2 linked regions of the Drosophila melanogaster genome follow. The protein of the gene in region 1 purifies or fractionates together with the protein of each later gene. This does not show direct contact. Each region holds a gene or a part of one and is shown in the gene's direction. Other genes may lie near its edges.

The links.
Region 2: the proteins of beat-IIb (region 1) and side-IV purify together in Drosophila melanogaster (affinity purification with western blotting; one large-scale study listed by BioGRID). This does not show direct contact.

Annotation. Positions count from the first base shown.
Region 1 is NT_033777.3:17,244,628-17,249,759, reverse strand, and holds the start of beat-IIb (beaten path IIb), read left to right. Parts: upstream 1-1,882; 5' UTR 1,883-2,221; coding exon 2,222-2,489; intron 2,490-5,132.
Region 2 is NT_033777.3:13,448,755-13,453,859, forward strand, and holds the start of side-IV (sidestep IV), read left to right. Parts: upstream 1-1,835; 5' UTR 1,836-2,174; intron 2,175-3,463; 5' UTR 3,464-3,676; intron 3,677-5,105.

The DNA of each region.
Region 1 (5,132 bases):
ATCATTCATAATAATTTGTACAAACAAACGGGGATGAGCTGGGGAAAAGTGGGGAAAAGGAAAATGTTTGCAACTGTAGCCTAGGTAAACAAAAGAACTGGGAGGGAAAGCGATGGGGCAATAGAATGTTTCACGCCGAGCCAACAATTACAAAAAATGATGTTTTATTTAAAATACCAGACAGGGGCTTTCTCGCTACAGGGAAGAGTAGCGATGGGGGAAGGGGAAGTTGGTGGAAACAGACAGGGAATAAAAATAACAATGCAACAGCAGTGATAATGTTGCCGGCAACACATGTTTACAGCAGCCAGAAAGAACCGCAGATACAACAACAACGGCTGGCAGCAGACTCAAAATCATCTCATTCCATTCCCTTCCCCTTTCAACCCATCGCTCAACCAGAAAATGTCAGACGCCTGTGCACACATTTTAATCAATAAACAAACGTGAAAATATGACAAACAAATTAATAAAATGCAGCAACGCCGGCCAGACAATGACAAAATATTATAAATGAATCGGAGGGCACTTCGGTATGAGTACGAGTGGGAAAAGTGGAGGAAAGTGCCGTGGAAAAAACAGGGGGGAAACGGTCTATATATAGAGCCGCAACATCCATCCCTTTCGCACCCGCCTCTCGACTAATTGTGACAATTCGGTCTCACACAAATGGCATAATAAATGTTGAGCAGAGGAAATGATGTGTGAAGTGCAGGCCTATATCCCCCTTAACCCACCGCTGGGCTTAACCCACTGCTACCCCTGCCCCACCCACCAATCAATGACCAAGCGGAAGTGATTTTTGGTTTCAGCGCACGATTTTCCGTCAGCTGGAAATGCATGGAACAATGCTGATGCTGCCCCAGCAATTAGCCAAACTTTGCATACACTGAGAGAAAAGCATGTTAGTAGAAGCAAACGGTAACAGGGTAAATAATAGTTGCAGAGGTTATACATTTTCTTCTTCCTAGAATGTTATGTTATCATTGCAAATATAGCTCTGTTAATTGAAAACACATCAACATGTTACTTATAAAATTATGTTATTGGAGTTTACATTAATAATAGTCATCAGTTAACTTTAGTTTACATCGAAAAGCGATTAATAAAACACTATAGAAAGTAATAGGAAATTTAGGTAGTGGCCCTTTTCTCTACGTGCGCCTTGGACAAAATGCCCTTCTTTGTTTTTGAAACAATTGGTGAACAATGCCAAAACAGGAAGCGGAGCAGAGAAGAACTCTTTTTTTTTTTGGATGGTGAGGGGCATGCTCGTAGTTTGAAGGACTGGTGGCAAATGTGCGGCTTCCTGCATTGAAGCGCATAATTGAGCATTGGGGAAAGTCGTAAATAATGCAAAACCCGATTGCTGGCGGCCGGCGAAATAACCAAATCCAAATTGGATGCCTTCGAGTGGACGGCCTGCTAATTAGTCCCCCGCCGATTGGGGAAAGGTCATTGGGCAGGGTGGGGTCGCGATACTTTGCTATCTCGGGTCCCTGAACGCATAAATCAATCCGGAAAAGGGTCGCGGCACGTGACGATCGCTGGAATTTTTATTTGTAACTTTGTGCACTTTACGAGACAGCAATAAAATTAATATTTCTGCCTGTGTCAACAACTAATTGAGGCATTTTCCTCCGTCTTCTTCCAGACATTGCAGTTCGTAGTTTTGGAGCAGCATATGAAGTAATTAGGAGGCGCACTAAAATCCCCCATAAACGTCAAAAGACAAACATTTTCGCGGAAGAACAACTGCAAGACAACAGCCATCGACGTTTTCCAGGCAACATGTTGCCGAGCGACAGCAGCGGCGGCGAAAGCAACATCAACATCAACTGACGGCAGCAACACCAACGGACAGCAGCAACATTCGAGCATTCAGTCGCAATTCTGACGATTGCGTGACGCGTTCGCATCGCGGCGATGAAAGAGACAGAATATCTCGCGAGGAAAGAGATCGAAATAGTGGCGGGCATAAAGTTTGAGTTTGACGTGCAAAATATAAATGAAAATTCACAAACAACTAATCGAAATACGTAATAAAGTGTGTGCCAACTCTGAGAAATATTTGAAAAATATATTCGTATAAATTACCAACGAACCACGGACACAAGCGGTCTGTCTCTGGGAATAATATAAATTAGCATAATTTAGCAAGGATTTGCCGAGACAAGCAGACATTCGTTTCGCACTTAATTAGTGTCCAAGCGCGTTGACAATGTGGCAGACACTATCAACTTTTAGCACATCACTCAGAGCAGCAGCAGCAGCAGTGGCAGCACAACCAGCAGCAACTTGCAACTGTAGCTGCAAGCTGGAAAACGCGGAAATGCACAGTCACATGTTGCCATCAGCAGAGATTGCGACAACGGCAGTGCGTAGGTGTTGCTGTCGCACAAAAATCACCCGCAGCAACAGCAGCAACTATAGTTGCAACTACGGCAGCAACGTGATCCAGTGGCTACTGCTACTGTGCCTTTTCTGTGGTAAGTACATATGTATGTAGGTAGGTGGTGGAAGGCGGCAAATGAGCCATGGTCGAGTGCAGTAAGTGACTTTTAACAAAACGCGCTTAAATGTCTCTGATTTAGTGCGCCACGCCCCCAGGGCAAAACTCGCACAAAAAACGCTGGGGATAAAGTGGAGAAGACAAACCGCCAAACCAAAGTGATATAGAGATGTGCTGAATAAAAAAAAGTGCTGCAGTTTTAGCCCTTGAAAAAGATATACACGGGGGGAGTCGGAAAAAAATAAATAAAAACGCTCAACACAAATCAAGATGAATTTCCGTGCATTTTTGTGCAGATTTCTGTACAGCTTTACCAAAAAAAAAATAAAAGGAAAAAAAAAGTAGAAGGGAGAGGAAAAACAGCAGAGACAAACACACATGGGCAGTCGGAAAAAAGGAAACCAACACACAAAGCTTGCTTTTGGGTTCTTTTTTCGCTCCAACTGCTACAGCAGCAAAAAATGGCTAAACAGCAAAGAAAAACATTTGAAAATAGCGCCAAGAAATGGAAGAAGATTAAATGGCAGTCGAGTTTGGGTGAGGGGGTGTTGGAAAATGTCGGGCGGTACGTCAGCGCAATATAAATTGACTCGTGTTTTTCATTTAAACGTTTTTGCCCCTCCCCCTACGTCCCATACGTTCCATTCGCTTTTTGCTTGGCTTCAATAATTCGACTGCAGCAGCTGCAGTTGCTGCCACTTAAACCTGAAATTAACTTTGGCCCACGAAAGTATGCAGCGAAGGAACATGGCAAATCGGGCTACGTGAGCCGGCCATACACGAATGTGCTGCACTGTACCGTCTGCACTTGTGGCTCTGCTTTTTTTCGTGGCCAGCCCTCTTGCCCATCCTCCGTGGTCCTCCTGTATGGCTTGATTATTTCGTTTGGAATTGATGCTGCCATCAATTATAGAAAACCACAAAGAGAAGCAAGACAGCAGGATGGGAAAAATGGATCCGGTTAGCAAGGCAGCGGAGTCTGATGCGAGTACATTGAGCGAAAAGGGGGGACACTGCTTAAGAACCTAAGATATTTAATATTCAGCAATGCACTGCTTTTATCTAATTAATCTAATAGATATTACATATATTAGCCATAGAAAAAGCGCATCTTAAGTGATTAGACATAAACTACATTTTCCGTGAGCCAGAAACCCGATGTTCGTTATCAAAACTTGGCTTCGATTTAATCTAGATCTAGAATTTTCCTCTTAAACCGCATTTCCCGCTCAGTGTGGACCAAGAGTAATGGACAGCTTGCAATTGAGTTTCCATTGCCGCTGGCTGATTGGTTGGTCGGATGGCTTTAAAGCCAACGCTTTGTAATCGATGGCCCCGCAAAAGCGCTGGCCAATGCTAAAATAAACCGAAATCAATTTGGTTAAGCCCCCCCGACGAGCAGGCAGTCCGACCGCCCACTTAACTAATCAGGATAAATAAATATTTATAATTAATTTAAAATATAAACAGCACTCAGCCCGAGCAGCGCAATTAATTTCGGCTAGTTTCGGTGGCCATGATTGGAATATCAGCGAGGAAGGACGAGTCCTTAGAACCGAAAGTGGAAAGTTTAATTTTGATAACAAGGCAAACAAGCAAAGTTCTCAACGCCCAAGATTCAGGCATATGAATAAATGACTGAATGCATGAATAAGCAATCAACAATAATGGCCCCAAGATGCGGAATCAGGCTTTAAGGAGTGGCTGGTGAATGGAAGGTGAGATGGGGATATTATGAAAATATATGCACAGCTCAGGGGCGAGGACTCCAGCGTCCAACATCCAGGACGCAACTGGCCATGGTCAAGTGCCTGAAGGTGCGAACGGGATGCCCAGCTAATGAGCCAAGTCATCAGGTGTCGACGCAATGGAGTGGGTGCTGGGTGTTGAGCAAGGTGACCCAACGGGGTTGGTGGAAAATGAAGGGAAATGGAAAATGCGTGAGCCTGCGCGTGCTTAATGAACTGCAATCAATGGACACTGCCAGTCGATAAGAAAACCGAAAGGCGTCAGATTGTGCGTGCAACATGGTGGTGACCGCAATTGCAAACAATCGACGAAACGAACACTTGCCGAAAATTAGTACAGTCCCAATACATTTCAAGATAGAATATGGTTCACTTTTCATTAAAATATAAACTAATTTCCGCTTTAAGAGCGACTTAATTGCAATTGAACATTATGCACCTATTTTAGACATGTTAACTGTATCTAAAACGCAGTGATATTTTCACTTAGGCCGATTGCAGGGCAGACAAATTGATAGCTAGTGATTTACAGAATCCCTGCCGAGATTTCCGCATTAATTACGCACATTTTGTGGAAATTTATTTAAGCACCGCAAAACATTAAAGGGGATGCACACGGTGGGGCATGGGGGGAAGCAGGGACATGGCTCACACCCTTTTGCTTGCGTGAATCGGTTTTGGGCGTGAAATTGCTTTCAACATTTAATTACAAAAGGTTCGTGCGGTGGTTTATTTCTGGCTCATCACCGCACTTTCATCGGACCGAATTCCCAACGCTATTCGCTGCAATTTGTTATCAGAACCCAAACACGCACCTCACCTGCGGAATGGCTGTCTTTGTTTACCTGGACGTGTGTGTCTGATGTTTGGGG
Region 2 (5,105 bases), 3.8 Mb from region 1:
TCACTTGAGAATTCTCACACCTCGTGGCTGTCAGTCCAGGTTTTTCGGGATATTTGGGAGTCGGTTTATCTTGGGGGATGCGGCGCGGCGCATTCACGTGCCAGGCTTTTGATCTGTTTAGCATTCCGTGGCACATCGGAAAGTCGTAACTATTGACAAGATCTGGAGCACCACCAAACGGTCAGGTCATTGGAGAGAAATGTCTGGGAGTCGAATGCATTTCATGCGGCACTCGTGTATTTGTTTGCATTAATTTGTATATGTTACTTTAACGATTTAATGCCCAGCACGGCACCGACCCGACGCAGATTCCATAGAAACGGGAGGGGAATCGATTCGAGTCCAGGCCAGGCACGGGCACCCAATGGAGTTCGATCCCCCATTCACCATTCACCATTCCCCAATCCCAGGTGACTGCACTCGGCGGGGATTTTTCTCTGGCTTTTTGGTTTGGTTTTGGCCGGGCGCAAATTGCTCGGGCGCTTCTTTACTACTTCCTTTCCATATCAAATTGTGTGGATATTGCGCATCAATCACTTGATAAAGAACAACAATGCAGCAGCACTCGCATGATGAATAACATCTGCTCTGGTCGAATCTGAATTAAGGCGCAATGTTGTGCCGCAAAAGTGAATAATTCAGGCGAGCAAATATTGTTCGATTTAATTAATTTCCAATTGGCTGTCTAGGGGATTATTATTCATCGCGAAGGCTCATTTCCGACAGGCCTCATTTTCCAGTGCTTGAAAAATATTTTACTTGGCTTTAATTTGCTGTGTACTAAGGTGTAATTTTTCTTAATATGTAGCGGATGCATGCAGGAAGTACAAATTTAAACAAAAATAATCCATTTACCGCTGTTTGCATTCAAACAATAAAACAAAATCCGAATTGGAATTTTCTTTTCTTAACATTTTCGAAGAAAATCTTTTAAAAGATGCTCGTTTAAATAAAGTATTTAGGTTAAAAACACTATTAGGAAAAATCGAAGAATGATTATAATACAATTTGTTTAAGTTTCCTTTGTAAGTGTATTTTAAAATGTTGCTATAAACCAAATTGTAGTAAGCTAATGTACTACATACAAAAAATTAGATGTCCAATTTTATAGACAATAAATAAACAAAGGTTTCTTAATATCTTCATAAGTTTTGCCATCGCTGAATAGCAATTTAAAATGCTTTTCTATCATCTAGGCAACAACTTTCAAGTCAAGCAGGCCTAATACTTGGGCCTAACTTAATGTGGAAATCCCCCAACAACATCCGCGAATATTTGCCAAAACGATTATTCATCTGTTAAGCAGGGAGTATCTGCTGCCGATATGGAACATGGTGTAATCGTGTCTAGCTCTAATTACTTTTACAGCGACAACTTTTATCGCCCATCGCAGCGAATATCTCCGGATTGAGGGGCAATCTTTACGCATAAATAAGCAGAAAGTGGGTGGTGGGTTCTTTTGTTGGCGACCCGTAAGAAGAGGAAATTTGTCAATACCACTTTTAGTAGTGGCTTTTAAAGCAGGAGGGCTAAAGGCATACGCATACGATATAGGTCGCTGTTAAGATCCGAATATCGTATGCCAAGTTTCGTGTGGCTCGCTCTTTCGGGCATTTCTCTTCGGCTGGCTATTCGAATTTCGAGTTTCGAACTCAAATCAAAGCAGACGTCGCGAGGAAAACGCATCGACGAGTGGAACTCCGACGATGGGTATCCAGTAGATACGCGAAGCTATAACGGTACACATGTTGCTGTCGGAAAACGCGAGCGGTCCAAGTGGAAATGTAGCCCAATCCGTTCGCACCAGGGTTTCCATTTAAAGCGCTCCCTCGCACAAATACACACACACACACCGAAACACGGACACACTCGTACACTCACACACTCGCAACGTAACGCACACCAACGCGTATTCGCACCCACACACAAGTGAAGTCGGCTCTGCAAACGCACAAGTGCGGTGTATCTGTGTGAGTAGCCATAGAAGAGGTGTTTGGCATTGTGCTCAGGATACAGGATTTGGTGGCCAAGTGCTTAATAAAACCATCATAAACCCCAAAAACCATCAAAAGTGATAAATGCAAATATACCCCTAATGAATGAATACAAGCAATCGCAAAAGTGTGTGGCCTCAAGGAGCCAAGCCAAGTATAATCCCAACCATTGGCCAAGTGGTAATGCATCGTCGGATTAAATCTTACCGGTTTACAACAGCACTCGAATCTCTAATGGGCCTTGTATTTACCAAAATCTCTTCAATAAAAACGAAATCTTAATTTCTGACTTAAACATGTGCTAAAAGCTATTGAAAAATTAAACTTGTAAAGTTACTCAGTGGCTTACTAACTCCAATGACCCTTTAAAGTTTATCATAATACTTTGAGTGCTGAGTATAAATTTAAAAAACATAAGAAAAAGGTCATGGTTTAAACTTGTAATGCAGTAAAATATTGCCTACCAAATTGGAATTTATTCAATTAACGTAAAGCAAATTTCGTATTGCTGAGTTTTTGAGTAAAATAGTTCGAAGCCTTTATATAATTGCATTCCCCCAAGCCCCCAAGAACTGCTGCAAAAGTATTTAAATTATTTTGTTAAAAACCACGACAACAACGGGCGGCTGAATTCTCTGTCTGAAACCTCAAGGATTAGCCATGGAAAAAGAAATATTTATAAAAGCGGAAAAAATCTTATGAAAATCCCGGCAGACTAAAATAGCAACAAACGTTGCCGCGGCTGACTTTGAAAATTGCTCCACTTCGGTTCCAAGCTCCCTTCCGCTTCCCCCAGTTCCCAACTCCAGTTGCCACCACTTCAGCGGATCCACTCCACTCGAAGGAAGGGCTGGCTGCTCGGTTTGCGGTGCCGTGCCTCGAGTTCGTCGATAATTGGAATTTACGACTGTGGCATACAACAAAAAAAAAAAAACAGAGAGAAGGAATACGGACTACAAGGCTGCAAGGATATGGCCTCGGCACGGGCGTCGTTGTTTGGTGACTCGTTGCCATTTCCCCTGATCCCTGAACCACTCCCCTCCAGACACCTTCCACAATCAGATGTCCCTTTAACCCGGCCCTACGATAGTCGGGCGCCGTGTAAATATTTTTTTGTCATCGCTCCCTGTGCGCGGTTCAGTTCAATTGGCCCTGTCAGTGGCAGGCGCGCTGATTTGTTATGGTAATAGTTGTCAAAACGAGAGCAGATTCGAGAGATCCTCCACGGCACTTGATTACACTTGGCCACAATGACAAACGTGCGGATAGTGCATACATATATATGTATATATATGTATGGATATATAGTAAATGAAGTGTGAGCTTAACGAAATCAAAACTAAATTGCCAAGGGAGGTGCGAAACGTAAATCTTGGCCAATTAAGAGTGCAATTGGTTTTTGTGCGAGTTTCAAGTTCGTTAAGAGGTTCGGGTTTCTTAACCATCTATCTCTTTCGGTTTCATCGCAGATTCATCCGTTCAGACGGCGTGTCTGCGGCTCATTAGAGAAAAAACTAGCTGGCCAACAAAATAAAACAAAGTAACAAATCCAAACCAAACCAAAAGCATAGTCGAAATCGAATCGAAATCAAACAACGCGAAGCAAACTGTAGCAGGGCAGTATAAAAACAACATGGAATATTGAATGAAATCGGACGGGATATATGCACATACATTAGCAGGTGAGTTATCTGGCTGCTTATTTCCCTCAAAATTTATGCTCATGCATATCTGCATAATCGCAAATTAAGCTACATAATTAATAAGCCAGGAGCCACAGCCTCATCGCTGTCACTCGGCGTTGATGTAGCACTTTAGGGAGGCTATCAGCCGATGCCTTGCCTTGCCTTTGCTTCTGGCCATCTTGCTACTCGCATATCGGGTTATACTATATGGGCGGCTAAAGGCTATAGCATATGTGTACGTGCCACTGCTTTTCGAAAAGTATCGATGTCTGTAATCTTAATTAGCAACACCACAGCAACCGGCAACAGAGACAACATCGGCAACCCAGCAAACGGGGCTCACAAACATCTTTTAGCATTTCAAGCATGGCGTATCCGTACACTGCTGCCTTTTCCTCGGCTTTCCTATGCACTGCAAGAAATATAATTGTTTTTTCTTATAAAATTATTAAATGTCAGCGTGTCTAGTACAACAGCAGAAATCCATTAAAACAATTGTGTGCTTAGCCATAATGTGAAACCAGTTATATCGTAATAAAGTCAAAAGTCGAAAAACACATATTTTAAGATTAGAAATGCTTACGAATTTTTCAAAAGAAGATTCCAATGAATACGTTTCATCATATTGAATTAGCATTTCTTTATAAGCATTGTGCTACCGCAATGTTTTCAAAATAAAATATGTTGTACTCATTTTATTTAAATAATATCTTGGTCAGCCTAGGACAATATTTTTTCCAGTGTGGGGCTTTTTTCTGGCTATTTCTCACAAAAATCACATTACATCGAACGCCGAAACCGGTTTCGGTTGATTTCTTGTCATATTTCGTGTAGAAGCTAAAGGTGTTTTGTACAAATGGCCAGCAAACTAAACAAACTAAAGTCGCCGGCCAGCTCACGACCGGCTGCCCATCAAAGAGTTATTTATACTTATTAATGCCGACGATGAGTCCGAGTCCCCCATACACCTCCAATTCCCCGCAGATAGTCGTACGGCATCCCTAGTTTTAGTTTGTTGGAGTATGCAAATATCGTTGATCTGCTTTCAGGCTGAAAAATTCGCACCTCCATGTGCGAACAAAGCGCCCATGGGGCCACCGATTTGAGTGCATAGGAAATCAAGTTTACGACTTCTGCGGATTCTCCGCTGGGAGAAAGGGTAATATATTTGGCGGGGGCTGACGTTTTAATTGCTTCCATTAGAAATCGCTTAGCGACTTTAAGTGGCAGCCAGCAGACAGGAAATTGAAATTACAGGTGTACAACCAAATTCTTGTTTACGATTGGAGCTTAGATAAGTTGATCGGTCTTTCAAATTTGAATGCGACACCTTCGGCCAAACAATCGGAAAAGCACTTTGTTTGCTTTACAAATGCTTTTTGTGAGCTGGAAATATTATTTCATTATTTGTAAAGTAAAAACGAGA